3 linked regions of the Nothobranchius furzeri genome follow. The protein of the gene in region 1 purifies or fractionates together with the protein of each later gene. This does not show direct contact. Links are inferred from orthologs where the notes say so. Each region holds a gene or a part of one and is shown on either strand. Other genes may lie near its edges.

Region 1 (10,241 bases):
CTTTTTAAAATGGCATCACATGACACACAAGTTTAGCCTTCAGGAGGCATACAAGTGGGCTTCATCTGAAGGCTGCAAAGAGGATTGTTATGAAATCCGTTTCTGATTCTGATTTTGGAATTGGAGCCGAAACTGAAACTGGAATACAAATTCCATTAGCAGCTCAGTCCTGACACCAGTTTATGCTGAACAGTTATGTTGCTTATTATTAGTGTCTGTTTATGAAAAATGTTGGAAAATTTAGATGTGCTTTTAGAAAATTCTTGGATTTGTGTTTCCTTTAGTATCTGAGGAGAGATGAAGTGCGCCACGGAACCTCCTTTAAATCACTGACAGGAGAATTTGTTGAAACAAATCAAAATTTTCTACCTTTAATATTTCTTTTTCTTATATGCTCCTCAAGTTCTGAGCAGCAATAAATGTTTAAATGAACTTTAGTGTTTTTGTATTTGGATTTAATTACAGATAATAGCTATTATTGCTTCAGGTGCTCAATAAGTGTAACAGAGCGTTTTATTCCTGTTCTTACAATCTGCTCTCTTTTGTCTCTGTTTTTTTTTTTTTTTTTTTTCAGGCCCTAACTCGGGTTAAACTAAACTTTCTGGATCAAATAGCAAAGTTCTGGGAGCTGCAGGGATCAAAGATTCGATTTCCTCACGTGGAGAGAAAGGTTCTGGACCTCTATCAGCTCAGCAAGGTAAAAACGGATCTACCTTTTTAATGCCTGTGGCACTGTCCGTGTTTCCTCTGCTAACTTTCTTATCTCTGACTCGTTCAGATTGTGTCATCCGAAGGTGGCTTTGAGACTATCTGCAAAGAGAAGAGATGGTCCAAAGTGTCGAGTCGAATGGGTTTCCCACCGGGAAAAGGCACTGGTTCCCTGCTGCGTTCCCACTATGAGAGAATCCTTTACCCTTACGAGCTCTTCCAGTCTGGAGCTACGCTCACCGTGAGTGGAGATCCTCCTCAGTTTATTCAGTCCTGATTTAGTTTATTCAGATCAGTTTCATTGAAACAGTAACGAAAACTAAAGAAGTTTTTGATTCTACTAATCGTTTTAATCAGGGACTCCAACGGCTGTATGACGAGGCAACGGACGGGGAAGACGTAGATGAGGGGGTTGGCGAGGAAACAATGGAGGAAGACGAGGATCAAGAAGAGGAGGACGAGAAGGACAAGGAGAAAGACGTGGAGGGCGAAGTGACACAAACCAAGGGGCAGCTTCTTCCCGAGAGGCGCTCCAGACGTCTCAAGTCAGAGGTGAAAGCAGCTGTTGGCGTCACTCACATGCTAACGGAACTTAGAAAGTCACATTTTTGTTATTTTTCTGCTACAGCAGCTAGACAAACTACAAAAAAGGCCTGTATAAATCCTAACTGTTGTTTACTGTCTGCTCTTGTGTCTCATTGGACTCCTTTAGAGGGAGAACAAGGACCCTAAAGGTCTCAAAATCTTTGAAACAAGTCCCAGGATGGTCGATTTAGAGATCGTGTCTGCTGGTAAGCTTCAAACTGATAAACTTTTACATAGTAAATATTAGAAAAGCAGATTAATTACGTTTCTTCCCCTATCTAGACGACGGGTTTATTAAGAAGCAGCGTCACCTCAAAGCTCAAGCCTTTGCCATCAAAATGAGACCACGTAAGGAGACCCTGGAGGTCAACTTCGTGAGTCAGATTTGTTTGAGTTTGGCATCAGAGGCTCAGAAGTCACCCCTAGGGGTTAAACTTTTTGCATCTTCTGTCCCTCAGATTGACCTTTACCTCTGCCTGGTGTGTGGACGCGGAGACGAGGAGGACCGCCTCCTGCTGTGTGACGGCTGTGATGACAGCTACCACACCTTCTGCCTCATCCCCCCTCTGCAGGATGTGCCCAAGGGGGACTGGCGTTGCCCCAAGTGTGTTGCTGAGGTAAGGACTGAAAGATGTCTGACAGTCACGACTGATCAAATTTTTTAGTTTTTTTTTTTATTTTCCTTTTGTTGAAATTCTGTTAATCAGAATCTTCTTTCTGCGTCGTCTTTTTCTACAGGAGTGCAGCAAACCCAGAGAGGCGTTTGGCTTTGAGCAGGCGGTCAGAGAGTACACGCTGCAGAGCTTCGGAGAAATGGCCGACAACTTTAAATCAGACTATTTTAATATGCCGGTTCACGTATGTCGAAGGAGCTCGTGAAGAGGATTGAATGTGATTTAAGAGCTGGGATGGGTTTAACCAGGTCCACCTTTTATGTTTAGATGGTCCCTACAGAGCTGGTGGAGAAGGAGTTCTGGCGTCTGGTCAGCAGCATCGAGGAGGACGTAATCGTAGAGTACGGAGCTGACATCAGCTCCAAGGAGGTGGGAAGTGGGTTTCCTGTGAAAGATGGCAAGAGGAGGCTTCTGGGAGATGAGGAGGTGAGTGCCTCTGAGGCACTTTTGCCTTTTTTGCTGAGTTGTTTAGTTGATTTTTATGTAAATGACCTTCATGTGATTTTCAGAATTAGTAAAACAAAAACTTTGAAACATTATCAATGATGACACGATTCCCTTCAGGAATACGCCAACTCTGGCTGGAACTTGAACAACATGCCGGTTCTGGAGCAGTCGGTTCTCGCTCACATTAATGTGGACATATCCGGCATGAAGGTTCCCTGGCTCTATGTTGGGATGTGCTTCTCCTCCTTCTGCTGGCACATCGAGGACCACTGGAGTTACTCCATTAACTTCCTGCACTGGTGAGAAGGCACAACTGGAAGAGCTGATAGGTCCTGCAAAATCATTTTGACAAAAAAAAAATATTATGATGCAAATCTTTGCTTCTGCTGTTTTTTAGGGGAGAACCCAAGACTTGGTATGGAGTACCGGCCTCTGCAGCAGAGAAACTGGAGGCTGTGATGAAAAAATTGGCCCCAGAGCTGTTCGACTCTCAACCCGACCTCCTTCACCAGCTGGTCACCATCATGAATCCAAACGTCCTCATGGAGCACGGTGTTCCTGTAGGGTGGATGTTTGATCTGAGGACGTGTCTGTATGGTCTCTGTTGTTCCCCGGCCTTATCTTTGTGACTGCGTCTCAGGTTTACAGGACTAACCAGTGTGCCGGGGAGTTTGTGGTGACCTTCCCCAGAGCCTATCACAGCGGCTTCAACCAGGGCTACAACTTTGCAGAAGCTGTTAATTTCTGCACAGCTGACTGGGTGAGGAGAGTCCTCCTAGCACATTCCATTTAACACCGCTCTTGTTTCCTTCACGGCGGAGTTAGTCACGCTTTCACATGCTCTCCCAGTTACCTTTGGGGCGCCAGTGCGTTGCTCACTACCGACGGCTCCACCGCTACTGCGTCTTCTCCCACGAAGAACTGTTGTGCAAGATGGCGGCTGATCCCGAGAGCCTCGACGTGGAACTGGCTGCGTCCATTTTCAAGGAGATGGGAGAGATGATAGAGGAGGAGACGAAGCTCAGGCAGGCTGTCCAAGAAATGGTGAACATGTCAAAAGTGTTGGACTGCACCGTGACTGAGCTGAAATTCAAACCTAACCGTTAAAAATCATCTTTTGTTTCCTGGATGTAGGGGGTGCTGTCATCAGAACAGGAGGTCTTTGAGCTCGTTCCAGACGATGAGCGTCAGTGTCACAAGTGTAAGACCACCTGCTTCCTTTCGGCGTTGACCTGTCCCTGTTGTCCGGACCGGCTGGTTTGCCTCCATCATGCCAAGGATCTCTGCGACTGTCCTCTTGGCAACAAGTGTCTTCGGTAGGAATTTTCATGAATAAAAAACCTGTTTCTTTTGTGGGCTAAATTTAGAAGTCGGGATCCTAACTTGGTGTTCCATTTCTTCCGTTAACCACCTTCAGCTTCGTTTTTATGTCTCAGATATCGTTATGATCTGGAGGAGTTTCCATCCATGTTGTATGGCGTTAAGACCCGGGCTCAGTCCTACGACACCTGGGCCAAGAGGGTCTCTGAAGCTTTGGTAGCGGATCAGAAGAACAAAAAAGGTCCATGCATGTTTTTCTCCACAGTCTTAAACCTTATTATAACCTGAAAATGCACATAAAACATGTTCCTTTTTCAATCTGATCAGAACTTTTATCTATTAGCTCCAAAACTGAAACAGAAATCTAATCTCGAACGTATCCCTTTGAATTTTTATCTCCTTGTTTGTCTTATAGATTTGATTGAACTCAAGGTTTTGCTGGAGGACGCAGAAGACAGGAAATACCCTGAGAACTCGTTGTTCCGTCGCTTGAGGGAGATGGTGAAAGAAGCGGAGACGTGTTCCTCAGTGGCTCAGTTGTTGCTCAGCCGTAAGCAGAGGCACAGGTCTGTACACCTTCACACCACAGGCCAGCAGTGGAGCTCCCATTGTCAGGTCCAGAGAAGAGCTGACGGTGTCGTCTGTTTTTGCAGCAGCCGCCTTCGTTCTGAAAGCAGCCGTAATCGCACCAAACTGACCGTAGATGAGCTGAAAGCCTTTGTGGGCCAGCTCTACAGGCTGCCATGTATCATCAGCCAGGCGCGACAAGTCAAAGTCAGTCCTGTCTGTTATTGTTATACGATGCCCACATACAGCATGTTTCCTCCTGCTTCACTCCTCTGATGACATCTGACCTCTTTTCTTTAACTCCCCATGTGTTTTTAGGAGTTACTGGAGACTGTGGAGGACTTCCACGAGCGAGCCCAGGTGGCTTTATCAGACGAGACGCCCGATTCCGCCAAGCTGCAGGAGCTTTTGGATCTGGGAAGCGGCCTGGACGTAGAGCTGCCCGAGCTGCCTAGACTCAAACAGGAGCTGCAACAGGCCAGGTGGCTTGATGAGGTGAGCTGTTAAAGTGGGAGCCAAGGCCTGGGTGGAGACGTATTTCATCCACACTTCCTGTTAACAAAACACTTCTAAAAGAGCCTGATGAACCGAGAGAGCAGCACTGAGGCAATGACAGATGGCAACCCCCCAGCGTGCGCTGTTTCTCTGTTGAAAAACAAGTCCACGAGCACACATGGAAGCAAGCATACACTCACAGCAGACTTACCTCTCAGGAGAAGAGCAGACACAGATTCTGCAGCATTCTGGAGGATTTTATGTCCACTGAGATCATTAGACGAAAAGGGGAGGAGGGCTTTTTTTTTTTTTTAAAGGAGGCAAGCAGCTCAGAGCTCCAACATGTCATATCGGCAGGTGAGTAGTTGAGCCGGATGGAGGTGCGGCTGCCTCACCTGGAGACCAGTGCATTGCAGCCTTGTAGTAATTTGCTGACAATGTCACGTTTTTCAGCTTAGCCGTCAGCCACAGCTGATTCTAAATAAATGTGGAGATGAGTTTTTAACCTGAAGATGGTGATAGAATTACGGTTTGGGGCTGAAATAAGTTTAACGTAAGTTGCACTAAACTGCCACACTAATGGTTACACATGTCTACAGCACTATTAGACACTCATCTATCTTTATCAGCAAAAAGGTTAATTTAGGTGTTACTCACTCTTTAACCAATCCCAGCCAAGACTTTAGTAAACCTGTCCCTTAGCAGGGATTTGTTAGGATTGTAGAGGCTTAACACGTCTGATTATTCAAAGAATTGCAACGTTGTTGTGCTTTGAGACTTTATTTCTTTCCATAAGATGGCAAGAAAAAAAAACAATTTAATCAGGGACTCCAACTAATAATAATAATAATAATAATAATAATACATTTTATTTAAAAGTGCCTTTCAGGACACCCAAGGTCACTTGACAGAAAATACTTAATAAAATACAATAAAACAATAATAAAACCCAAACAAGGAAAAAAAAACTGAGAGAAACAGTTCAGTAAAATCAGAGGTTGTAGGCAGATTTAAACATATGTGTTTTGAGTTTAGTTTTGAAAAGGGTAAAACTGTCGATGTTCCTGATGTCTGGGGGAAGTGAGTTCCAGAGACGAGGAGCAGAGTGGCTGAAAGCTCTGCTCCCCATGGTAGCGAGACGGGCAGAAGGAACCGCAAGATGGATGGAAGAAGAAGATCTGAGTGAACGGGATGGGGTGTGAATACTTATAAGGTCTGAGATATATGGAGAAGAGAGGTTGTGGATTGCTTTGAAGGTATGGAGGGGAATTTTGGAGATGGACCTGAATTTAACTGGGAGCCAGTGAAGTTGTTGGAGAACCGGGGTGATGTGGTGAAAGGAAGGGTTTCTGGTGATAATACGGGCTGCTGAATTCTGGACCAGTTGCAGTTTATGAAGGAGTTTGTTGGGGAGACCATAAAGAAGTGAATTGCAATAGTCGAGACGGGAGGTGACGAGGCTGTGGACGAGAATGGCGGCAGTGTGAGGGGTCAGTGAGGGGCGAAGACGGTTTATGGAACGTAGATGGAAGTATGCTGACCGAATTATGTTATTAATGTGAGCTCTAACCCTGTCCTTATTCGTGCACACCGAAAATTCCTTAAATGGCCTGGAAAATGGCCCGGTGGAATGGACGCGCATGCCGGGAAATGCTGGTAAATTTACCCTGAAGTTCCGCTCGTGGAAACACGCCTAAAGTTTCAAATGCTCTGGAGCCTCAAAGAACAAACTATTATATAGGGTTAAATGCATAGAGATGACCTTGTAAATATGAAGAAGAACAAAGAAAAAAAAAGCTGTAAACGTGATAGTGTGAAGAGGTTTTTAAACTAATAGTGGATGAGTTAATTTGCATATTGGAAACCTTTGAGAATTGGAAAATAGTTTTACATCATCAAGAGTCTCTGTTTTTACACACCGTGTCTCCTCGAGCAGCAACTGTCAGTGATGCTGGTTACAAATCCTTATGGTGACTCATGATGCAGTCTCCTGTGCACATTCAAAGTAAATCACTTAATTATTTTAAATATTTTACTCCCTAAAATACTCAGCTCTGAAATGGAAATCCAGAAAGTAAAATTTAAAGCCTGAATGTAAAACGACTAGAGCTCTTTTTCCATCTTCATCAAACTTCAGGTCCGTGTCACCCTTTCTGAACCACACTGTGTCACTCTGGAGCTGATGAAGAGGCTGATCGACTGGGGGGTGGGACTGGCTCCACATCATGCTGTGGAGAAGGCGATGGCAGAGCTACAAGAGGTCCTCACTGTCTCAGAGAGGTGGGAGGACAAGGCACGTGCCTGTCTAGGTGCCAGGTGAGGCGGATTCAAAGATGCACCAAAAAAAAAAAATCCTGCACTTGAAATCTCTCTGAGTTGTAATCATCTTTTGCCTCAGACCTCGACACAGCATGGTGACCCTGGAGAGCATCGTGCTGGAGGCCAGAAACATCCCAGCATATCTGCCCAATATTCTGGCTCTAGAAGACGCCCTCCACAAAGCAAAGGAGTGGAGCGCTAAGGTGGAGGCCATCCATAACGGAAGCAGCTACGCTTATCTGGAGCAGCTGGAAAGCCTCCTGGCCAGAGGTCGCTCCATCCCCGTTCGACTTGATCCACTGGCCCTGGTGGAGACCCAGGTGGCTTCAGCTCGGGCCTGGAGGGAGAGGACCGCTCGCACATTCCTGAAGAAGAACTCTACGTACACGCTGCTCCAGGTTAGAACACATCTGGTTCATTACTTGCGTCTGAAAACATCATAGACCTGAGTACAGCCTCTCTTTCCCAGGTTCTCAGCCCACGTATGGATATCGGCGTTTACAGCAACAGCAAGAGCAAGCGGAGGCGGGTCAAGGAGCTTATGGAGAAGGAGAGAGGTGGCTTTGACCCCCACACTTTGAGCGACCTGGAGGAGAGCCTTGAGGAGGTCCGAGACCCTTCAACTGTTGTAGCTGCTTTCAAAGCCAAAGAGCAAAAGGAAGTGAACGCCATTCACTCGCTCCGTGCTGCTAATTTAGCCAAAATGGCCATGGCGGACCGCATTGAGGAGGTCAAGTTCTGTCTGTGTCGAAAGACAGCCAGTGGCTTCATGCTGCAGTGTGAGCTTTGTAAGGACTGGTTCCACGGCGCCTGCGTCCCTTTACCTAAAACAGGAACTCAAAAGAAAGTGGGCGTGGCCTGGCAGAGCAACAGCAAAGACTCCAAATTCTTGTGTCCGCTGTGTCAGAGGTCGAGGAGACCGAGGCTGGAGACCATTCTGTCCCTGCTGGTTTCCTTACAAAAGCTGCCGGTGCGTCTGCCAGAAGGAGAAGCTCTGCAGTGTTTAACAGAGAGAGCAATGAGCTGGCAGGTATGTTCCTTTAATTATTCAGTTCCTTCTGCGTCCAGTTTCCCTTTAATAATCTACATGGGTGTCACCGTCCTACCAGGACCGAGCGCGTCAAGCTCTGGCTACCGAGGAGCTGTCCTCCGCTCTGGCCAAGCTGTCTGTGCTGAGTCAGCGTATGGTGGAGCAGGCGGCGAGGGAGAAGACGGAGAAGATCATCAACGCCGAGCTGCAGAAAGCTGCTGCCAATCCAGACCTGCAGGTAGCCCCGTTCCTCAAGAGTGTTGTCTCTGTTTTTTAAAAGCACCACGATGCTTTTAAAAAACAGAGACAATTAGAAAAGAAAAATAATTTTTTCCAATAATTTTTCTTTTCTAATTCAGTTTATTAATAAAATGAGTTTTTAAGAGTCAAAAAATATTTATTTTCCATCTAAAAAGTTCTATTAAACAAATTCTTGAATGTTGATACATTGGGGAAAAAAAATAAAAGTAAAACATTTTTTTAACCAGGTTAATCATTTAAATCGTTTGTCACAAACTTCACCTAAATAGTTTAGATGAAAGACCAGAAACTACTTCCTGGTCTAAGATAATAACGCCCATGTGTGGACTTACGTTTGAATTGCATATTTATCACATTAATTTTTCAGATAACTTTTGTTTTATAACTGAGTCCCAAGGTGATTCTGAAGGCTATTCTGCCTGTTTGGTTTATTTCATCTCCAACAGAGTGAACTGATTTATTTGTAGGGATGCTTCATCTAAACAGCTGTAGCTTTAATATTTTAGTTTACATGTTGTTGTAAAAATCCAGCTACAACATTTTTATTTTGCTCCCGTCTGTTTTCTGCCATGGCAGCATCAGGGAGCCTTCGGTCGTTTATAAGCCGTCAGACCATGGCGGTAATGTGACGCAATCGTGTCCTTTTTACAAAAGATTAGGTGATGGCGGCATAAAGGGGGTAGGGGGGGCGGTCTATGTGCTGCCGCGGACTCCCGTGTATCTTGGACATAATTTGCTTTTTATTGCGATCAAAGTCATGCTCATTACGTTTTTTTAACAAGCCGCTCCTAAACAGGGTATCCACGGGTCCTTAAAAAGTCTTTAAAAGTCTTAAATTAGCTTTTCCAAATTTAAGGCCCTAAAAATCCTTAAAAATGACAAATAATCCTTAAATACAGTTTCCAAAGGTCTTAAATTACCAAAGACCCAATAAACAAAATTCTTTTATTTCTATTAAATTTTCGGAAATTTCTAGTTAGTGTTCAGCATTTTTTGTGTACGATGTTGGCGTAAGCGGAACCGTACACATTCAGTTGGTTGTGAAAGGGGGCTATGTTTAGATGAGCACATTAGCTGGTTAAGCTAGTGGGAGCTCGCGCCATGGGGAAGTGCAAGTTTAATGGTAACTGGGTGGCTAATCCCACGTTCGCGATGTGGTTAGCACCGGTTTCAGGCAATAGCTGGAAATTATAGTTTAAATTTAATTTAAAGAATAGCTTAAATGTGGTCAAAGTGGCCTTAAAAAGGTCTTAAAAAGTCTTAAATGTGGCTCCCTTAAACCTGCAGATACCCTGCTAAAGGTGTTTGTCCTCCACAGTCCCCGTGCGGTCTCTGGTTGAGCTCCAGCTCTAATGGAGAAAAGCTCCAGTAGCGCTGCATCGCTCCAGATTATCATCTCCGCTGATTCTGGTAACAAAAGTTAAACTTAAGGCCCGTGTTTACTTTCATTTTCAAAATGGTTGCCGGTCGGAGCTCAGGAGTAACTCCCCACGTGATCCTTACACCTCCCTCTGTTGCACCAAGGCACAATCACCGTTTATAGGACAGACGATTACTACAATATTACTACCAAGCGAGGCGGAACAAATGCCGCAAAATTTGTGCATCGCCATGCCAGCATGGCGCGTTTATAAGACACACCGTTAGGGTGATATTATGCTGATTTGCCGTCATGGTGATTCTTGTAAAAGGGGCTTATGTGGAGGTTAGAAAAAGGCTATTGCTAGCTCACTTTCTCAGTTTTATGCAACATTTTCTAGTCAATTATAAACTGAGAAAAAAATGTATTTAAAATGTTTTCTTCTATAAACGTTTAATGTTAAATGAGCTGCTGG
Region 2 (10,967 bases), on another chromosome or scaffold:
CGTTTTGTACGTAAGCAAGCTTGATAAATGAGGACCCTGGGCTTTAGAAAGCAGGTTAGAAACGCCACTCAGATAGTGGAATGAGGTCTGTAGGTGACCGGTCAATATGTAAGTGAAAACTGACCATTTCTGGACGTTACACTACTTTTTTTTACTTCTAACCATTTTAACAAGATTAGTTTTTCCCAAAAAAGTTGCTTTATTGAATCGTATATATGTTTTCTGCCCTCTGGTGGAAGCTAAAGTTGCCAAGTACAAATAAAATGTTGTTATATTGTTGTATAAGTAAAATATTGTTGTATTAAAATTATTCAAAAATGTTTTCTGATTATTATTTCATGTGTCAGGCTTTAAGGAATTAACTGTCTCTCTAGGCCGATGATATCTTTGCACAAGGTTGCAGATTTCTCTCTCAGAATCTGAATGGAAGTTAGACTCTGAGAGAAAAAGAGAACCATGATAAACATGGTTAGTTCTCTCTCTGTCTCTCTCTCTCTCTCTCTCTCTCTCTCTCTCTCTCTCTCTCTCTCTCTCTCTCTCTCTCTGTCTCTCTCTCTCTCTCTCTCTCTCTCTGTCTCTCTCTCTCTCTCTCTCTCTCTCTCTCTCTCTCTCTCTCTCTCTCTCTCTGTCTCTCTCTCTCTCTCTCTCTCTCTCTCTCTCTGTCTCTCTCTCTCTCTCTCTCTCTCTCTCTCTGTCTCTCTGTCTGTCTGTCTCTCTCTCTCTCTCTCTCTGTCTCTCTCTCTCTCTGTCTCTCTCTCTTTCCAAAACATGGGGAAAGAGGTGGAGCCCTGTATTTGGTAACTGGATCTTTAGTGCCAGTTTACTGACCTAATATGATGTAACAATGGTGGCGGACTGGCCAGGTGTGAATTCTAGAGAATCCCAGAATGGCCAGTGTGCTTTAGGGCCGATGATGGCCTCCACCTGTCAAAGATCCCCAGCAGCAGCAGATGAGGGCCCAGGGCGGGTCCCTCCCAAACCTGGGCCAGGGACCTGCTGCCCCCTCTGAAGCTCCGCCCCTGAATGAAGCTACTAGCTAAATTAGCTAACCCAAGAAGCTGAGAAAGAGCTAAGGGGTAGCCAATCTGCACGGCCACCTGGCTTCTGTGCAAGGCTGTAGTTTATACAGGCTGCCTGTGGAACAGACCACTGCGATCAGAGCATCATTATATGATCATGCTCCACCTCGGTCAAAGTGGATCGGAGATCAGCAGGAGATTAGCTACATGCTAACTCAAGCTAATGGAGTTAGAGAGAAACACGCGAATCACCTGTGCAGCAGCTCATCAGGCTGGCAGGAGCCTGTTAAAGTAGCTTTCTGGAGTTTTCCCCTTTCATGGGTCCCCGGAAGAATAAAAAAGTGAATGCATGTCAATGGGGCTAAAAGAGCTACTCTCTAATCCGCTTTGCCTTCGGCCCTGGATCGCGCATATGTTGTACTGCAATTTAAATGAAAACTAAAGATGGGTGTTTCGAACATGTCTGTCACATACTTTGAGATTTTTCAGCTTGTAAATGTTCGTAAATAGCATGACTACAAAACAGACATCAGCACGTCTCATATGACATTGTCGGTACCAGATCTGCTCGGGTGCAAGATCGGCTCGGGGTCCGTCGACTGCCGATGACGTCAAAGTAGTTGATTGGCTGAACATGAACCGTACGGAATTACGTAATCACGTTACGTTGTTATCACATTACGTTGGTCCAGGCAAATCTTTCTGTTGGGAAGATGGACAACTTTTACAAAGAAATCCATCATTACCTCTTTGAAAATACACTTTTAGCATAGAGCTGCATGTATATTAGGGCTGAACGATTAACTGCATGTGCAATTAAATTGTGATGTGACAAAAGGAGATTTTCTAATCGCAAAGGCTGCAATTTGGCAGCGAGTGGTTAGCGCAATGCTAATGTACATGGAAAAACCCATAGGAATGCTAATGCTAAAGTTAAAATTTCCAAATAAATATTTAGTTAGCAAGCTAAATATTTAATTTGTAGTTAAATATTTCTTTTGTAAACTAAATATTTAGATCAGACCTAAATATTTAGTTTGCAAAAGAAATATTTAACTATAGATTAAATATTTAGCTTGCTAACTAAATATTTATTTGGAAACTTTAACATTTATAAATGTATGAATTACATGGTGAAAAGATGACTTTGAAAAAGTGAACTCCCAATTTTTTCTCTTATTATTTGCTAAATAACCAAAAATATTGCTGTTAGATTATGACTGTTTGACTTTACAAATGGCACCCCATAGGACAAGATGTCAAAAACTCTAAACACAAAATACTTAAATAAACGGGACACACTTCTTTCCTGCAAATACAATTTCACAGGTGTTACTAATACCTATGATCCTTCAAGGGATGTGCTCAAAGAGGAGTTCAACATCATGAATAAAATATAGTGTTTAATTTACAAATACCATTATAAACACAAACTTACGTCTTAAGAAACATTATTTTAATAACGAAACTGCTAAATTCTTTCCAACAGTATAGATGTGTAGTGTATTTTGTCCGAGTGGGTTTGCCGTACATTGACGTCATCGGCAGTCGAAGGACCCCGAGCCGATCTTGCACCCGTGCAGATCCTGTACCGACACCGTCACCACATAATCACGCCTCCCCTAACGTAGCTACTACTTACCACATGGTGATATTTATGGTGGTTCTTTCCTCCTGAAGGAAGGATTAGAAGTTTGCGGAACTTACAGCCATTTTCCTTCTGTTTTTCTTTGTGTCTGGTTGTACATTTGGACTTATTTTAACACAAAACCTAAAATAAAATAAAAATCTCCTCCAGCGGTTCCACAGTCGTCCCCAGAACAGAACCAGCCTTTGTTATTAGGCTGTTGAGCCTTTTCAGGTCCCTGCTTCTGATGCTGCTACCCCAACAGACGATGGCTGAAGAGATTACACTCTCAACAACAGACTTGTAGAAGATCTGCAGCATCTTGCTACAGACATTGAAGGACCTAAGCGTCCTCAACAAGTGCAGTCTGCTGTGTCCCTTCTTGTAAACGGCTTCGCTGTTCTTTCTCCAGTCCAGTCTGTTGTCCAGGTGAACTCCAAGGTGTTTGTATTCCTCAACCACCTCCACTTCTTCTCCCATGATGGAAACAGTGTTTGACTCCACCTTGTTTCTTCTGAAGTCTAAAATCATCTCCTTTGGTTTGTTCACAAATTTTAGCCCCATTGACTTGCCTTCATTTTGTCGTTCTTCTGGGGACCCATGGTGCAGAAGTAGAAGGGCGTGAGTTAGGCTCCCTGTGGACTTGCATTAATTTTTCCCAGTCTGTGATATAATGAGCGGCCTTAGGAATGCAGTTGTGATTGAGCACATGGGCGGTCGGTGGTCTGTGATATAATGAGCGCATCTCCAAGCACATGGGCGGAGCAAAAGAGCGCGGAGAAGTAGTGTGAGCAGTCTTGCTTTTTGAGACTCTGACTCTGATATTGCATCCCGCTTTGCTGTGTCTGGCAGTACTGTGTATGTGTCAGTGTGTGTGTGTGTGTGTGTGTGTGTGTGTGTGTGTGTGTGTGTGTGTGTGTGTGTGTGTGTGTGTGTGTGTGTGTGTGTGTGTGTGTGTGTGTGAGCGCTCCTCACTGCAGTGAGGGACAGAGAGAAACGGCTTCAGTCAGAGGCTTGTTAACTCCACAGCATCCAGAAGGATAATGAATCATGCATGCGGGAAGCCTCCGCGGGCTGATTCTATCTGCCAGTCGGAGGTTCCCAATAATAATAGGTCTGCTTTTCAGTCAGCCAATCAGTCGGCAGTGGGTGTGTCGGCCCGGCTCCAGGCAGACCTCCTCGAGAAGAGGGCTGAAAAGATGTCCAGGAAAATCCAAGGCTACCCAAACGAGAACAATCACTTTTATGGATTTCTAAAAAATCATAGTCCTGAAAGGGGGAAACTCTGGATAGCAGCTTTAAGCAAATTGATAAAACAAGTGAATTAAAATTCAGTCAGAGATTTGCAGTGATTCACATTAAATCAAATTAAATTAGAAGTTGAAAGCACCTTTGGGCATCAGACTAAGTGGTGAAATCTCTGAAGAATGAATGAAAGTGAATCATACAAAATCTGGGAGACGAGGAAAAATCGAGTACAAGGAAACCAAGAAAGAATCAGAGCAGGTCAGAGAGGTCGTAGTTCTGCAGGGTTAAATTAAATTCTAGAAGTTAAGATCTTTATTCTAAATATCAAGTTTGATTGGAAAAATATGTGATAATACAAAAGGCTATTAATACTGAATATGCTGATTATTCATGAGTAGCTCAACAATTTTGGTTTCGCAGTCCAGCATCAGGTATGATGACTGTCCTTAGGTGTGAGTGGGTGTGTTGTCCGACCTATCCAGGGTGTCTCCTGCATCTCGCTCAATGACTGCTGGAGTTAGAAAGCCCCCTGCAACCCTGCTGATGAAAAGCAGTTAAGAAAGAGAGTGAGCAAGAGTTTTGTTATGAACCGCCTTTTTTATTGAATAATAAAACTCTTTCCTCAAAATAAAAAACATAGTGATAATGGATAGCCTGAACACTGAATGTAATCATTATGAACATATTTAAAGCTAATAAATCAAGTCGTTCTGGATAAAATCAACTAGGCCCAACCAGAAACTGTAGAAAGAGATCACAATCATTCCATCAGCAAAGCAACTAAAACATAACCCTATCCGGCTAAACGCTAAGGCGGTGGCTCCCTCTGCTGGTGAAGCAGAGAAACATCACCAGACCAAGGACGACCAGTTTCTGCATTGTCTGAGTTTCACCCAACAGTTTGCATAAAAATATACAAATTTTTAAATGTTGCATTTTTGGAGCTTTATATTGTCCTTCCTTTAGTTTAAAAAGTAAAATAAAAGTAAATTCATTCGTTTCGAATTAATTTTAGTTTGAAAACCGTCCCGATGTTTTCTAAATTAATAACCAACAATCTGCTTATTGTGTGGAAAAGTTCTGAATCTTTTCTTCAGCGATTCAATAAACAGTTTTAACAGAAACGGAAGTTACGGTAACATCGCGAATGAGTTACTTTCAAAATATAAGCAGCCCGTTCTGCTTCACATCGCACAGGAAACGTAACACAAACAAAACAAAGCTACTACATCAAGTTTTTCTTTGAAAACTTTCCTAAACCAAGCCTTTTCCAGAAAAGTTCAGCAACCTATTTCTGCTGATTCTGCCATTCCACTAAAAAAAGACAGTGAAGGTAACAGGTTCTTTCATGAGCTGACAAGAACTTTTAAAATGCCACTTTAGGTCACTTTCAATTATTTTTAATTATTCCAATTTCATTGTACTGAAGCAATTACACTTTCTCAGCAAGAAATTGACCACAATGTAGAATTGAAAAGTACTATATGTGTAATAAAAGTATTATATGTGAGCTAAACATAAACATGAAAACTGAGGTTCATGTTTATGGATCTAAATAATGTAACCCGGAAATTTTATTTTGAAGAAACTCAAAGGAACAATACCGTATTGCCGCGTGTTTGAGCGCACAACCAAAAGCAAAGGTTTTCCTGACCATTTTAAACATTCATTGATGAGTTTAAATAGCTGAAAGTATAATAGATGAAAATAAATTGAAGCTTCATTTCTTTACTTTTATTTTAACGCCTACACTTTCTCAAAGACCTTTTTTTGTGTGTTTTGAGGCTTGAATTTTTTTAACTGCTGCAAGAGCCTTTAATGGTCTACAACGGACTCACACTTCGTTACACTCATTACAATATTAGTATCGTTACAATGTTGTCCATTTCTTTCCTTTACCAGTGCGCATGCGCGTCTGGCGGTTCGCGGTTGCGCCAACTGGTAGGATGTTGCTAATAGCCCGTGTAGATGCACAGCCGTTCCCCACAACAATAACATCTAAATTTGCATCTTCACACCCTTGAATCGAGTATTACATTTTCTAAACGCGCTCGGAAGCTGTGTTTTGGACCGAGGCACGCCGAACTTCAAAGTGGATTGTTTGGTTCTTTATTCTGTGGACAATGGGAGCGGAGGGGTTTGCAGATCTACAGGGCTCCCTTTTGCAGGACCAGAAGCGAGAATCATGGCTTGCCAGCTAGGCCGCCGATGGATTTTGTCGCCATGAGCAAATATCCATTGATCATCAAATACTGGATGTATTTTCGGTGATTGCACATAAAAGTGGTGCTACCAGGCTCGCGTCTTTCTCTGACTTCTTCTGTTGATAAGACCGAGCCCGTTAGCTTCACAACCTTGACTGGCTGACGTCTTGCGCGTCGTAGTTAGCTTTTTAGCTAGCTAGTGATAGCTAACCATCTTGCCGCTGGCCACAATCTTTAGGAATTCAACATTTTTGCGGGATTAGCACTCACTGCCGTGTATCTCAAGGAGATCAAACTTCAAAGTCTTTCCTGCAGCGTTTGCTTCTGAATGAATGTGGGACAAAATGGAAACTCCGACGATTGTGTACGATCTGGATACCTCTGGGGGCTTAATGGAGGTGAGGTTGCTACGTTTGAAGGCCTCAGTGGAAAGATTGAGCTTTTCTAGCACTCTGGTTGTTTGATGTTGTTTTACTTAGGGTAGTTATGGCCATTATAGCGTTTTTACGAGCGACTTGGTCAGTAAAGTCTGGTTAGGGTTTGTGATGTGCTCTCAAGTTGGTGGTGTCTCTCGCTTAGTTCTATGACCGAAGACTTGGTTGTTTATTTTAATAAACAACCAAGTCTTCGGTCATAGAACCTGCATTTTTTTACGTTTTTAAATTTCCTGTGTAAATGTAACCGCCCTGGTTTCATTTTACAGCAAATCCAAACTCTACTCGCGCCTCCAAAGTCCGAAGACGTGGACAAGAGGAGTCGAAAGTTGGTGAGAGACGTCCGGAGGAGCGGCAGAGCCACCAACCACGACACCTGCGACAGCTGCCGGGAGGGGGGAGACCTGCTCTGCTGTGACCACTGTCCCGCAGCTTTCCACCTACAGTGCTGGTGAGTGCTGGCTAGCAGCAGCAGCTCCGCGCGCTGTGGTGCTGCTTTAGCTAGGCGGTGAATGCTAACCATGGTGGGGCTGTAGATGCTAACCATGGTGGGGCTGTAGATGCTAACCATGGTGGGGCTGTAGATGCTAACCATGGTGGGGCTGTAGATGCTAACCATGGTGGGGCTGTAGATGCTAACCATGGTGGGGCTGTAGATGTTAACCATGGTGTGGCTGTAGATGTTAACCATGGTGGGGCTGTAGATGCTAACCATGGTGGGGCTGTAGATGCTAACCATGGTGGGGGGCTGTAGATGCTAACCATGGTGGGGCTGTAGATGCTAACCATGGTGGGGCTGTAGATGCTAACCATGGTGGGGGGCTGTAGATGCTAACCATGGTGGGGCTGTAGATGCTAACCATGGTGGGGCTGTAGATGCTAACCATGGTGGGGCTGTAGATGCTAACCATGGTGGGGCTGTAGATGCTAACCATGGTGGGGCTGTAGATGCTAACCATGGTGGGGCTGTAGAAGTCAGTTCTGCTCTGAATTACAGGAATTCCGTTATGACCCAACGGCTCTGGGACTACCAGCTGCCTGTTGGTGTTGAGCACATAATCTCTCTGTGAACGAATAAAGTTCCCTCTGCATTATCGCACACACCGGGGGATGTTGTCACGCCTATTACCTAGCTTGTTATAACCAGACGGTTGATCGTAACTTCGATGATTGCTCCAGAGGTGTGTTATTAAGGTTTGCTCTCTGCGGTTTAAACGAGGCAGAGTTGACTTGCAGTCGGTCCTCCTCTCCTGCTGCTGCTGCTGCTAAAAATGGAGTCGAGGCTGCCTCTGTTTACAATATGGCGACTTCTCTGCTCTCTTCAGCGCCATCTTACCAACCTTTACATTTCGGTGCCGAGGGGCGAAAGGTTTGCGAATAGCATTAAACCGGCGGTGTGGTTTTGTGAGTGTGTAGCGGTTGTTGTTGTTGTTGTTGATCGCTGTGACACTTCCGGTGGCGCATCAGGAACTTCTGCTTAATCACATCTGGTTGAGGAGTTGCGTTTTGGCTGTCACCTGGAAGCGATTTGACTATATTTGGTCATGGCGGTCAGTGGCAGGCTGATCTGGGACGTGACAGGTTGTGCTGAACTGTTAAACCAGCTGTGAACACGGGAATTTCCCAGCTATGCGTGATAACCCCGCACGGTAACGTGTCCCACCGCTGATGCGTTTCAGATGCCTCTGATTATTATAGAGCAGTTCCTAGATCAGCTGCTTTCATGTGGAGGAACTAGTTTTATACATATTCTACTGTAATGGCATGATCCGTCCACCAGGGGGAGTCATTGCTGGGAAAAGGCCTCCGAGTGCATTTTCAAATAGATTTGGTTTGATATTCAGTTTAAATCACGTGACTGAATGGACAGTTATCATTTCCTCCTTCAAGCCTGATGGTTTATGCTTGTTTATAGTAACCCACCTCTGAGTGAAGAGATGCTCCCGCCAGGTGAATGGATGTGTCATCGCTGTAACGTTAGAAAAAAGGTGAGTTGCAGGTGCGCCTGCACGATTCTTTTTTATTAGGTTAAGTTGTGATCCATCTTTGAGATGTTCGGGTCTTGAAATATTAGCACATGAAATTTACATTCATTTAATTTATCTTGAGGTGTTTTTCAGTTAAAACTTCAGCTATTTGAAGAACTTTAAACACTTTGTCATTAGGCTTCCCATCCCGTACCAGTCTGCTTTAAAAAGGAACTTTGTTAGATTAATAGTTGAATGGATCAGAACGTCCTACCGTGTGTGTGTGTGTGTATTCTACAGCATATATTATCTCTGCTCATTATAAACCTTCCAAGAGTCTTTCTTCTGAGTCAGTGCCGTTTGCTGCAATCAGGTCATTCCTTTTGATCCGTTTCATTTGTTTCTCATCAGAAACGGGAGCAGAAGAATGAACAGACTAATGGTTTACTGGAAAGGAGCTTGTCTAAGCGTTCAGCATCCCCCGCTGTAGAGCTGGAGCCCACTGCTGGGCCACTGAGGCTCGATGGTTTGCCTCCAGGAGCCGGAGCTGCAGGTCCTGGCCTAAGAGTAGCGCAGGTCCGCCTTCTGGACCGCAGGACCAGCAGCAGGCCAAGCAGTCGTCCCGGGACACCGACATCCAACACATCCTCTACCCCAACCCCATCAGAGGAGCAGAATGATGGAGAGGAGGAGGTGGTGGAGCCAGAGGATGATATTTCAGGAGCAGAGCCTGAGAGTGCAACGTCAGCAGCTCCAACACCTCGTCTCCTCAAGAGACCCTTTCAGCTCCTAATAGCTGCAGCCATGGAGAGAAACCCCACCCAGTTTCAGCTGCCGACTGAGCTCACCTGCACCACTGCGCTGCCAGGTCAGTCCTTTAGCACGCCCACAGACCTGAGACTGTTGTCCGGTGGGCTGGATGGTAAAGCTCAGCAGGATGTCATTTAGCAAGCGTCCAGTAAAGCTAACTGTAGTTACATCAGTAAAGCATTCAGGTCAGAGTCCCCTGTCTCCAGCTTGTCTTTGGACTCAGGTGTATTACCGGCTCTCACCAGTAGGGGGCTTCTGAAGGGTGTCTTGTTGCTTTTCAGGCAGCAGCAAACGGAGGAGGAAGGAGGAGCTCCTAGGGAAGCCTTTCAGAAGGCCCCAGCATGAACTGGACACGAACGGACTCGTCCCTCTACCCGTTAAAGTCTGCTTTTCATGCAACAGGTTAGAAACCAGTGTGCTACTGGGATTCTCCCACCAAGCAGGGTATGTTTCTAAAGACCAGGCTCAGGGATGTCAGCCGGCTGTGGCTCTACTCAACACGACAAAACCAAAACACCCAACTTCAGCACTGACAGAAGACTGACCCGTCTGTGGTGCTGAAGTGTGTTTGTTTTTCACACAGGAGTTGCAGGCTGGCTCCGCTGATTCAGTGTGATTACTGTCCGCTCCTCTTTCACATGGACTGTCTGGACCCGCCACTAACAGCTTTACCCGCGGGCAAGTGGATGTGTCCAAACCACGTTGAGCACTTGGTGGTAAGAAGCCTAAACTGGTCTTGAGTTAAGCCGACTTCCTGTTAGTCTGATCCGTTTGGGTGGGAGTGTGGCTTTCTCTCATTGTCCTTGTTTTCTGTCCAGCTGGACCAGAAGAGCCTGAGTTTGTCCAGTCGCTGTCAGCTCTTTGACCAGTTCCAGGACAGGGTTTCCCAGCACGCTGTCAAGTTGGACTTTCTGCGCCGAGCCCACCAGCGGAACGCTCCCAATCGGCGCACGACTCACCCGCAGAACAGGAAAACCGTTAAGGTAGACCGCTGCTCTGTCCGCTGGTGTGTGTTTGAGTGATGATGTCATGGCGGCGTCTGACATCAGCGCTTGATCACCGATCCTCTGAGTTCTCCTTTCTGACTCCAGTCATTAAAAAGCTCACGGATGAAGAATGCGTGTTAGGAGAGGAACGTTTTCAAACTGTTGTTTTCGTTCAGGTGCCAGATGCCATCAAGGCTCAGTACCAGAGTCCTCCCCCCATGCTGCTTCCTGCAGGGGTGCGCCAGCTGGAGCTGGTCTGTAGCGGCGTTCCCGACCATCAGCCTCATAAGCACCAGACCACTGAGGCAGAGCAGGACGAGGTGGGTCATGTTCTAGAATTACACATGACCTGGAAACCTTTTAGTCACAAATTCTGTACGAATATTCCAAACACAACTTGTTTTGTTTTCCCTGCACTCTACAGTATCAGAGGAGACGCACGACCACTTGTTTGGTTAGAATATTTCGATGGCTTGTGCAAAACATGTTGGTGAAGTTTCTGCACTAAATTCCTCTCACTTACAGCAAATTCAGCCCTTGTAATCTTGGCATTTTCAGGACCTTCCAGAATGAGTCGTTTCAGCGCTTTCGCCAGGCCTTTCCACTGGATGCGTAAGCATTGCGTAACGTCTGCAAAGTGAAGCCCGCCGCCGTTGGCCGGCATTCTAGTCG
Region 3 (10,384 bases), on another chromosome or scaffold:
CGCTTTACAATAAGGGTGCCTTTATTAGCGTTACACAGTGTATTAAGCATTAATAAAAGCTCGCTTAATTAGCATTAACTATTAAGTGTCCTTAAGGTTGGGACAAAGGGAGGGGAGGGGGTGTCTGCTTAGTAATGCATGACGTAATATTGTTAACTTTAATAGTTTATTAATGCAGAAAGTAATGTTAATAAAGGGACCCTTATTGTACAGTTTTACCAGTTTATTATTCACAAGCTTGGTTTTAATATCTGGACCTGTATTACATTTGATAGACACGATTAATTAAACCATTTTCTATTTATAAATTCATAAATATTGCATTCAGTAAAATTGAAAAATACATTTTTTGTAATTGATTTATTATAAAATAAACAAATCCGTTTTAAATTATTTATTGGTGTTTTTAAATCTATAGAATGTAAATAAGAAGTAAAAACTAAACATTTCATTTCCAAATAACAAAATAATATTATTTGCAGGATACTGAAATTCTTGCACAAACTTTCTTCAACAATAACAGGCAAAACTGATGCTTGAAGGGTTTTTTCACATTTTTTTATTTGCAAATTTATTCCAATATTGCAGTTATGTGTAAACAACTTGTATACGCCGTCCATCTAGTATCAAATTGCAACTTTCCTTTATACTGAAATAGTGGCTGCCGTCCGCAACCATTTTCTCTATGTTACATAAATGTACATTTATCTGTTTGACAACAACAGGCAACAGGCCAAGTCCACATCGGTCCTGTTAGCTCGCGCTGCTGACAGACTCTTTGACAGTAAGAGTTGGTGTGGATCCTATGTGGGTCCAGATGTAACCCTTTTCAGGACATATGGGGATGGTGGGGAATGGGGAGCTCTGAGACTTGAAATACTCCGATGGGGCGTGGCACACAAACTCCAAGTATTCCATCTTTCTGGGTAGATCCTCCTCTGGTCCTGATAAACATAATAAAGCGAAATAAGATAAATCACTCACAAAAAAAATCCTTTATTTAGCCACAGTTCTTACCGACGATGTACGTTCCAGGGTTAAATTGATCGCTCGAGCTGGCCTGAGTGGGAATGAGCCACGTCAGTGCTGCACTTTTCTCACAGTACTGGTCCTGCACAAATCCTCTGATCTGAGCGTAGTACGGCTTTCCATCCTCCTCATCTATCACTTTGATCACATCGCCCACCTGGTAGTAAACGCCCTGCAAATACAAACACAGGATGGAAGAAGAAAAGATTAAAGTATCATCATTACGATGCCTTTTAGTTTAATACGAATCAGAATCATACCTTATAAAATATAGATTCTGATGTGATGATTGTTGCTACGGATTCTGGTGCTTTGATAGGCTGCGAGGAAATAATTTGGATGAGGTCAAATAAAAGATATCAGAAATAAATACATTAAAGAAGCAGAAACTTACATTTTTGAGCTTGAAAATGTGTCTTCTTCCTTTTCCTTTTGTTGACACTTTTTTCTCAGAAGCAGGAGCTTTGTACTTGGTGCTTCTCAGCCGTGCAGACCTCCTGTGGATTTCCTGTTTGGACTACAAATGGACACATTTAAATATTTCTGCTCCTGATGGCATTTTTTCAGCAGAAAAAAAAACTATAAATCAGTTTATTTTAATTAAAAATATTAAACTAAATGGTAAAATTATTTTATTAAAAAAATGACATGAAGTATTATTTTCAAACTATTTTATTCCAGTTTACTTTCTAGAAACATTTTCATGGCCACCAGGGGGCGCTGTTGTTACACCAAGACACTACTAAAGAAAAGCAAAAACAATGATGTTATAGTCATGTGTACGCTTTCTAAAAATTAACTAAAATAAGACATAAAAACTAACAATTCCTCATGAACTCTCGGATTTTGTTCGTGGCGTTTCTCTTCGGTGTTTCTGACCTGCTTGGCCCCGCCGTTGCTGGGCTGTGTGATGGTTGATATGGAGGAGGGTCCCGAAGCTCCCCCGCCGCCGCCGCTACTGCTGCTCTTCCCTGTGCAGTTGTTGCACAGTATTTCACCCTGGGTGCCTTTCTTCCACATTGAGGAAGAGTTCGTCTTACAGACAAAGCAGCACGGCTTCAAACCCAGAGGCATTTTACCGGCTAGAGAACGATGCCTCCGTACGTAAAAACGATCACAACAGAAACGCAGCTGCTTGGCTTATTACCAGATCACGACCGGATGTAGCTTTAGCATATTTCGCCAACGATTATCAAACAAAAATAACCGTAAAGACATCAAAAAGCCTTAAAACACAACGAAGTTAAAGCAGCATTATTTATGTACTGACTTGTTTCTACTTTCAGCGCGGAGGTTCTTCTTCAGCGTTTCCTTTGTTCTGAGGTCGGAAAACTATTGAAGTCAAGCGCCGCCTACTGGTGTGGAGGACTGCGTCGGGCGCTGGGCTGGGGCAGCTAAATGTGAGTCAGTATTTCCTTATTATCGTTGTTAAAATAGATATGAGTGCATGAACAACAACTTTGTGTTTTTTCAGGATTAAAATAATAAACTATTGATCACTAGTATCACTCATTCACATGTTTAAAAAGTTTGGATTGATATAGGAATTAACTTATTGAGTGCTGAAGCAGCGGCCTTCTTCTTCTTATCATTATTATTACAATGGGAGATAACCGTTTATTTGATTATTATCTGTTTAACAAAGTTGTTACTTTCCATGCCTTTGATTGTATCTTTTTCACTCTTTATTTTTACAGGTTTTTGCTGATTGAAAGACTGGCTTTCCCCACTAACAGACAAATAAAACGTCTTCTACTTTAAATTATTTAAATTATTAATATTTTTATTGTTAGTAGTAGCTAGTAGAAGTAGTAGAAGTAGTAGTAGTAGTAGTAGTAGTAGTAGTAGTAGTAGTAGTAGTAGTAGTAGTAGTAGGAGGAGGAGGAGGAGGAGGAGGAGGAGGAGGCAGAGTAGTAGTGGTGGTTGTTCCTGTTTTTTAATGTATTTCATATTTTTTACAGATTTCCTTAAAAGTTTTTAGAAAATTGGTATAATCCTTTGAGGAACTAAAATAATGTTAATTACTTTTGTTTACTTTTATAAACAATTCTGCAGTTTATTTTACTGTATTCTAACAAACACATTTTTACACTAGGACCTGTGATTCATGGAGAATAGAAACAAATGCAAACAAAATAAAAAGAGTTCCATTTCCTTTGCCTCACTATGGCAAAAATAATGATAGAGTTTATTCGAGATTATTCATTTGTATATTTAAGTATATTATATTAAATTATATTATATTAAATATAATAGTTTTAAACAAGCTGAAAGTTGTTTCTCTCAAGCATGGTTCTGTTTTGACCGTTTCCCAAGAGCTGGTTGGAATGATTGTCAGGTACTTTTTTAAAATACAAATATAGTATCAGGGTAAAATTTAATTACTATTTATTAAATTTAATCTAAATATACAGTGTTGTTTGAAATAACATCTTTTGTGCTGGGTTATACTCCTGCTTTCCAGCGGGAGGCGCTGTTTCAACGTAAAGACCACCAAAGAAATTGAAGACGGCGAAGAAGAAAGGCGTCACTCTTCAAAACAAAACTTAAAGTTCAGTCATTCTTGTCCTTTGTCCAAACAGAAATGTCTCGAAACAACCCAAACAAAGACAGCCAGACGCCGGACGCCAAAAAGTCCATCTCTCTCCCGGTGTCCCGGGTCAGACTGATCATGAAGAGCTCTCCGGATGTCTCCAGCATCAACCAAGACGCGCTGTTCCTCACCACCAAGGCTACTGTAAGCTGCCCTTGATGCTAATGTGGTTGTGTTTCTATTAGCGGGGGGTTAGCATAACTAGCTGGTGGTTGAACTAAAATCGTGTGAAGTTAAAATCGCTAAATATAGTTTTTAATCTGTTGTAAAGGAGCTGTTTGTGCAGCATCTGGCCCTGTCCTCCTTCAACAACGGCTCCGGGAAGGACAGCAACACCCTGGAATACAGCGACCTAGCTAAAACCACCGAGGAGAACGAGACCTTCCACTTCCTCACAGGCGAGTCTGGAGCTGAGCATCAGCGCGTCCTGAAGCCAGATTATTAGATACACTGGCCTTTATTGTATTTTAATGTTTTATTTATAAATAAGTGTTTTAATAAAGTCCCAGACACGAGGAAAATAGCAAAACGCCATTGGAAGCTAGCTTTTGGACCATTTAGGAAGATTTATTTTAGCTTTCCTGTATTTTACTGCCAAAAATGAAAGATTGGAATGAAACAGAATCAAACCAATAAAAAAAAACTTACAGATGAGAGAGAGAGCGATATGAATTTTCCACAAGAACTGTAAGCCGCTTACATTTATTTTAGCAACATGTAATTTTTGTGCCATTTGAACTTTATTTCTCAGAGAAAAGACCGATAATAAATAAAATTTATACTGAAAAACAGGTTTTTTTAATCTGACAGATATTTTGCCGAAGAAGATCTTGGCTCGAGATTACCTCAAGACTTTGGAGCAGATGCAAGAAGAAGAAGAAGAAGCTGATCTTTGACATGAAAGCCACTTTCCCTGGTGTGTGTGTGTGTGTGTGTGTGTGTGTGTGTGTGTGTGTGTGTGTGTGTGTGTGTGTGTGTGTGTGTGTGTGTGTGTGTCAGAGGAGACACTTATGGACTTTAGAGCTTTTTAAACACACGGTCTTGGAGAAGGTGGAGCTTAAATTGCCTCAGAGCTCAGCTCTGAGGAATTTAGACCAAATAATGGCAGTAAGCAAATAAGATATTTAACACTGGTTTAAAAGGCAGCACAGACCAATCAGTTCAGTTTAACATTTTAATTTTGGCTGAACACAGTCGGGGCTGTCTTTTAGGTGCTTCCACTTGCACCAGAAGTGAACCGTTACCTCCTAACAGACGTGACAAGCAGCTGGAACACAGACGTGACAGAAAACACGAGTGGATGAAAAACTTCATCCACCTGTAGAGAGGCGACGTGTTTAGATGAGAGACTGCGAAGCAGCGTTTGTGCCTCTCCAGATGTGAAATGCCACCTCAGCTTCACGTCATTTTCTTTGTTAAAATGTCTCAGAGGGAATCGTCGTTGTGAATTTACTCGTGTGTTTAGATTTGATATAAAATAAAGATGAATGCTAAAATAAATGCCTCTCGTGTCAAGATCCGATGTTTTATACTTTTATGATGTTTCACAAGCATGTTGCAGGGGATTGTGGTTGATATTTAGTTAGCTGCTGCATGAATGGAACATGAATCGTCAGCGTCGGGTCAGCTTCGCGAGTCGAAGCTGAAAATGAAACAGATTCTTCTCTAAAGTAGAAAAGTGACTCTCCAGGCTGTTCGCCGTGCGCGCTCTCCTGTCGAGACCGTCCCTCGTGTTGGCGAGATGATCGTTCAGCCTAAAGAGGACGAAACGAGTAAATATGGATAAGTTTGTTTTTAATCAAACAAACACATTCAGTTAACGACCTCTGATGTCCAGATGATGACTCAGCTTGTTTTCTACTTTTAGATCCATCATGTAATAATCCAGATTTCACGTGCCTCGTTAAGGATTCATAGCTAACCTCCACAGCTGACTCTGGATCAGTTTGTTCATGTAAAACAATCTGAACAGCTCATTTGCAAGAAATAGCAGATTTGTCTTTTTCAGCAGCCTGCTTAATCTCTTAATCTCACTCTTAAATTCTCAGTCTCACTATTTTAATCTCAATCTCACTATTTTAATCTCTCAGTATCACTCTTTCTTTCTTTCTCTCTCAATATCTCTCTTAATCTCTCAATCTCACTTTTAATCCCTCAGTTTCTCTGTGTCTCAGTATCCCAATCTCCCTCATAATCTCTCAATCTTTCTTAATCCTTCTCTCTCAATCTCTCTGTTATTCAGTTTCTCTCCCCCCCCCCTCAATATCACTCTTAATCTCTCAATCTCACTTTTAATCCCTCAGTTTCCCTTTGTCTCAGTATCCCAATCTCCCTCATAATCTCTCAATCTCTCTTAATCCTTCTTTCTCAATCTCTCTGTTATTCAGTTTCTCCCCCCCCCTCAATATCACTCTTAATCTCTCAATCTCACTTTTAATCCCTCAGTTTCCCTTTGTCTCAGTATCCCAATCTCCCTCATAATCTCTCAATCTTTCTTAATCCTTCTCTCTCAATCTCTCTGTTATTCAGTTTCTCCCCCCCCCTCAATATCTCTCTTAATCTCTCAATCTCACTTTTAATCCCTCAGTTTCCCTTTGTCTCAGTATCCCAATCTCCCTCATAATCTCTCAATCTTTCTTAATCCTTCTCTCTCAATCTCTCTGTTATTCAGTTTCCCCCCCCCCCCTCAATATCTCTCTTAATCTCTCAATCTCACTTTTAATCCCTCAGTTTCTCTGTGTCTCAGTATCCCAATCTCCCTCATAATCTCTCAATCTTTCTTAATCCTTCTCTCTCAATCTCTCTGTTATTCAGTTTCTCTCCCCCCCCTCAATATCACTCTTAATCTCTCAATCTCACTTTTAATCCCTCAGTTTCTCTTTGTCTCAGTATCCCAATCTCCCTCATAATCTCTCAATCTCTCTTAATCCTTCTTTCTCAATCTCTCTGTTATTCAGTTCCCCCCCCCCCCCTCAATATCACTCTTAATCTCTCAATCTCACTTTTAATCCCTCAGTTTCTCTGTGTCTCAGTATCCCAATCTCCCTCATAATCTCTCAATCTCTCTTAATCCTTCTCTCTCAATCTCTGTTATTCAATTTCTCTCCCCCCCTCAATATCACTCTTAACCCCCTTCCCCCTCACTCTCACATCTCTTCTCTCAATATCTCTCCCTTTTAATTTCTCAATTTCTCAGTTTTTCTTTGTCTTACAGTTTCTGTCCGTCTATCTTCTACAAATCCCATTGAATATTACAGATTACAGATGGATTTAATCATAAATAATCTTAATTCTGAAGCAAGAAGACTATGATAAAGTCCTCCAGTAGACCGATGAAGGCTACACGATGCACTTTCCTCATGACTTCATTTAAAAGTCACAACCACTCAAACATAAATCTGAGTGCAGGAGGCGAATCTTGTGTTGCAACAATAACTCATCAGTAGAACATTTTCAGCACATTTTAGGTTCTGGATCGGACACATTTTTCTCACCTTGTCAGGACAACTTGCTCCTTCCCTTCTTTCCTTTTCTGCTGCAGAGAAACAAACACCGTCTCCATGGTCTGCACGGTTTCTCTGACCTTCTGGTGGTCCGAGAGGATCCCCTGGACTTCCTGTCTGGCCTGGTGGTTGTACGAAACCCCCGCGTCCCCCACTCCGCTCAAAGTGGACACGGCCTGCAGGGCGGCCCTGTTCTGCAGAGCCAGCAGACGGGACTTGGCAAACTCCTCCGGCTCTGCCACGTTTTCCCAGCAGACTGGAGGGTGAGGCGGTAACCAGAAACGCTGTGTGCAGTTGACTCCTGGTCCTGGGGAGTTTATCACAAAGGGGCTGTCGGCTGGGAGCAGGTGCAGCAGAGACGATCCAGAACCCAGCTCCCAGTCCTCAAAGTCTGCTTCCCCAGATTGTTGCTCCGAGGGGACCGTAGGAGCTGCTGAGTCTGCATCCTCAGGAGAGCAAAAACCCAGAAGGAGGCAGCAGGAGAAACGCAACCAGAACATCTCCAACGATCCTGAAACTAAGATGAAGATGTTGTCTAAAGGAAAGACAGAACAAACGACAAAGAGCTGAGGTTTGAGTTTTCCACAGGCCAGCAGGAACATGCATGAGTGAAGGATCATTTACTACCAACTGTTGCCATGCACCTTCAAAATAAAAGCCCCAAAGGTGTTGAGACAAACCAGACTTAAAGCAGTTTTTATCTAGGCTGATCTATTTACTCACTAAAGACTTCAAATTGAAAAGAAATCCAGCTAAAGCTCACCTGTTTCCTAAACACTTAAAACAATTCCAGTTACAGGAATCAGCGTTGGTGTTCAGAAATGATCTTACCTTTTAGAAAGGCGGCAGAGCAGTGTGTGTGTGTGTGTGAGTGTGTGTGTGTGTGTAAAAGAGCTCATCTGGAGCCTGGAGCTGTTGGAAAGAATGAGTCGTGTGCAGCCTGTAACATGCAGTCTAAATGGTTTTCCACTGGCTCAGTTACAGCAGAACCAGGAGCCAAAGTCTGAGGAGGGAATGATGTAAAACTCACCTCAAATGAGCCGATGAGCCTCTTGTTTACCAGTTTTACAAGTATTTATTTCCCTGAGGCGAGTCTTTTCTGCAAAACCTAATTGTGTCGATAAGTTTAACGCTTGAACTGGAACAGATCTTTCTGATTTCTTTCTGCTTCTGATTTCCTCCACGTGGACAGATGAGTAGGAGGTTAGCCTGTTTTACGATTTCCGAAACGGAAACAGACTCTGGACCGCTTTCAAATGCTCAATTTTCAACTTTATCTGTTAAAATGAACCGTTTTTCATCCATGTCACAGAAGAAAGGGTAAAGAAAAGCTAAGCAACTTCTTATTTATCTAGTTTTGAGCTGAGCAGGAAGTGAATTCATCTCGTCCAACGTGTAAACTCTGACACAAGCAACAAAGGAATGGGACGGATTTTGGCAAAAACAAGCAACATGTGTTGTAGTTGTTGGGGAGGAACACGTGGCAGAAACCCTCAAGTCCGCATTGAAATCTGGAAGCGATTTTATCCACAACACTAATAAAACTGGTGCAAATCATCCAGTTAGTAGAGACAAAATGACATATAAATATAGGATATTACAGACATGTGATATGGCAATAAAATAATCTTGACACTGAGTTGTAAAGATTCTTTAATTGCCATATAATATGTATGTAATATCATACATTTATGCTTCAACATAAACCACAAAGACAGCATGACTAGACTGAGGACTAACAACTACAAGTACCCCTCCTTTCCACCGGAGCCGTCAGCAGCACGTTACTCGCGTATGCTGCTGCTTGGCCCTTCCCACGAGACGCGAAGCAGCAGGAGAGCGGCTGTCACCGACAGAGCACGAAGTCACGTGACATTAGCAAAATTACGCGTATTTTAGATAGCATAACTGACAGAGGTCCATACAGAAAAGAAATCACGTTAATAACTAGCATGAACTCACCGTCTTGCCCCAAAACCGCAGATACGTCACTCCATGCGTTATCCTTCGTCATTATAAAAACTGTGACTGGGATCAAACCGGATTGGGTACTTCTCCACTTTAGTAATCCACCTTTCGTCGTCCATTATGGAAAAACAAAGGAGACCGCTAGCTAGGTGATAACTTTTTTTTAAAGTAAAGCAACCGGAAGGCAGTACGTTTCTTTATTCTGAAAATCTCGGGAAGCTTCGCTCCATTTCCGCGTCCGATTTCCTGTCTTTCCTTTCCCAATAATGTCGAACTTGACCCATTTCAGGGGCGTAGCGCGGAGAAAATAGAACCAGCGCGTAAGGGCCGCGACATGCTGCTCCTGAGACTCGGCCGACTCGCGCTGCTGACGGCTCCGGTGGAAAAGGTTCTGTTGACCACGGCGGTTCCTGTCAGCAGCTGTGACGTGCTGCTGCAGTAACGTGCTGCTGACGGCTCCGTCACAGCTCCGGTGTAAAGGAGGGGTTAAGGCAGTAGTCATTAAGGGCCAAAGGAGCATGACTCCTGCAGGAATCAGTTTGGCCCCGCCCCCTGAAGTGCCCCTGTCCTGAGACTCATCTATCCTGATGATCAGATCATAGGTGGATCCAGTTTCAAGTCCAAACACTAGTGGCACTAATGATACAAAAAGGACTTTCCTGCATGAAAGCTTGTGTAAAGCCCGGACAACACTGCATTATTTTGGGCCATCCTAGACACATCTCTTGTCGTGAAGAGAATCGTGACTAAAAACCACGAACATGAGGGTGATTCGCAAGTATGTGGCTGTCCAGTGTCGACCAGATCAGCGACAGCTTAAGGAGCACCCTAACGACCAAAGTCAGCCTCCAACAGTCTCCGCTTAAGGTCATAAGGCTTAAGGAAGTTGGACTAACTCTTGGCCTCACTAAAATTAGTGAGGCCCCTTGATGGCCCCATACTCCAAAAAATTCTAGATCCGCCCCTGCTAGTATGAAATTTGGACTGGGACCGTCTTCCTGATGATAGAATCTAACACTGAGTGTTGTCAGAGCCTGCTTTAGCATTTTAAAAGAGTTGAATAACTAAGGGAAAAAGCTGAATTTACCCCTTCCAGTTGATCCATGAGGGAAATCAACAAGAATATTTTTTGCACAAGCCAAGCAGCTGCAGATGACGTAAACCTCAACTGTGAGATTTAAGGCCGAGGACCAAAGGTCAGCATATTCACATCCTTATTTTTACTTCTCTGTTATTTTGTTTTAATCAGTTTTATTTGAGTTTGTGAGACACTGAATGACTCGAGTTTCTC

Evidence for each region.
Region 2: the proteins of kdm5a (region 1) and phf12b purify together in Homo sapiens (affinity purification with mass spectrometry; 3 studies listed by BioGRID and IntAct, with this or other methods). This does not show direct contact. The link is inferred for Nothobranchius furzeri from reciprocal best matches to the Homo sapiens genes KDM5A and PHF12.
Region 3: the proteins of kdm5a (region 1) and gatad1 purify together in Homo sapiens (affinity purification with mass spectrometry; 6 studies listed by BioGRID and IntAct, with this or other methods). This does not show direct contact. The link is inferred for Nothobranchius furzeri from reciprocal best matches to the Homo sapiens genes KDM5A and GATAD1.

What each region holds. Positions count from the first base shown.
Region 1 is NC_091741.1:53,781,184-53,791,424, forward strand, and holds part of kdm5a (lysine-specific demethylase 5A), read left to right. Parts: intron 1-574; coding exon 575-697; intron 698-778; coding exon 779-949; intron 950-1,065; coding exon 1,066-1,260; intron 1,261-1,420; coding exon 1,421-1,499; intron 1,500-1,575; coding exon 1,576-1,667; intron 1,668-1,751; coding exon 1,752-1,910; intron 1,911-2,031; coding exon 2,032-2,151; intron 2,152-2,234; coding exon 2,235-2,393; intron 2,394-2,531; coding exon 2,532-2,713; intron 2,714-2,811; coding exon 2,812-2,974; intron 2,975-3,054; coding exon 3,055-3,174; intron 3,175-3,263; coding exon 3,264-3,458; intron 3,459-3,548; coding exon 3,549-3,730; intron 3,731-3,850; coding exon 3,851-3,975; intron 3,976-4,149; coding exon 4,150-4,300; intron 4,301-4,387; coding exon 4,388-4,508; intron 4,509-4,619; coding exon 4,620-4,796; intron 4,797-6,933; coding exon 6,934-7,112; intron 7,113-7,194; coding exon 7,195-7,513; intron 7,514-7,584; coding exon 7,585-8,145; and 3 more. UniProt on the Homo sapiens protein: Histone demethylase that specifically demethylates 'Lys-4' of histone H3, thereby playing a central role in histone code. Does not demethylate histone H3 'Lys-9', H3 'Lys-27', H3 'Lys-36', H3 'Lys-79' or H4 'Lys-20'.
Region 2 is NC_091753.1:61,663,063-61,674,029, reverse strand, and holds the start of phf12b (PHD finger protein 12), read left to right. Parts: upstream 1-5,785; 5' UTR 5,786-6,430; coding exon 6,431-6,496; intron 6,497-6,801; coding exon 6,802-6,983; intron 6,984-8,422; exon of another isoform or gene 8,423-8,433; coding exon of another isoform or gene 8,434-8,447; coding exon 8,448-8,520; intron 8,521-8,910; coding exon 8,911-9,367; intron 9,368-9,590; coding exon 9,591-9,711; intron 9,712-9,892; coding exon 9,893-10,025; intron 10,026-10,127; coding exon 10,128-10,292; intron 10,293-10,471; coding exon 10,472-10,615; intron 10,616-10,967.
Region 3 is NC_091759.1:18,088,329-18,098,712, forward strand, and holds gatad1 (GATA zinc finger domain-containing protein 1), read right to left. Parts: upstream 2,331-10,384; 5' UTR 2,104-2,330; coding exon 1,909-2,103; intron 1,547-1,908; coding exon 1,424-1,546; intron 1,350-1,423; coding exon 1,290-1,349; intron 1,202-1,289; coding exon 1,018-1,201; intron 945-1,017; coding exon 754-944; 3' UTR 531-753; downstream 1-530. Other genes in the region: chrac1 (chromatin accessibility complex protein 1), read left to right, coding at 3,614-3,766, 3,894-4,020, 4,433-4,518; uncharacterized protein si:ch211-57n23.1, read right to left, coding at 5,235-5,376, 7,117-7,745. UniProt on the Homo sapiens protein: Component of some chromatin complex recruited to chromatin sites methylated 'Lys-4' of histone H3 (H3K4me), with a preference for trimethylated form (H3K4me3).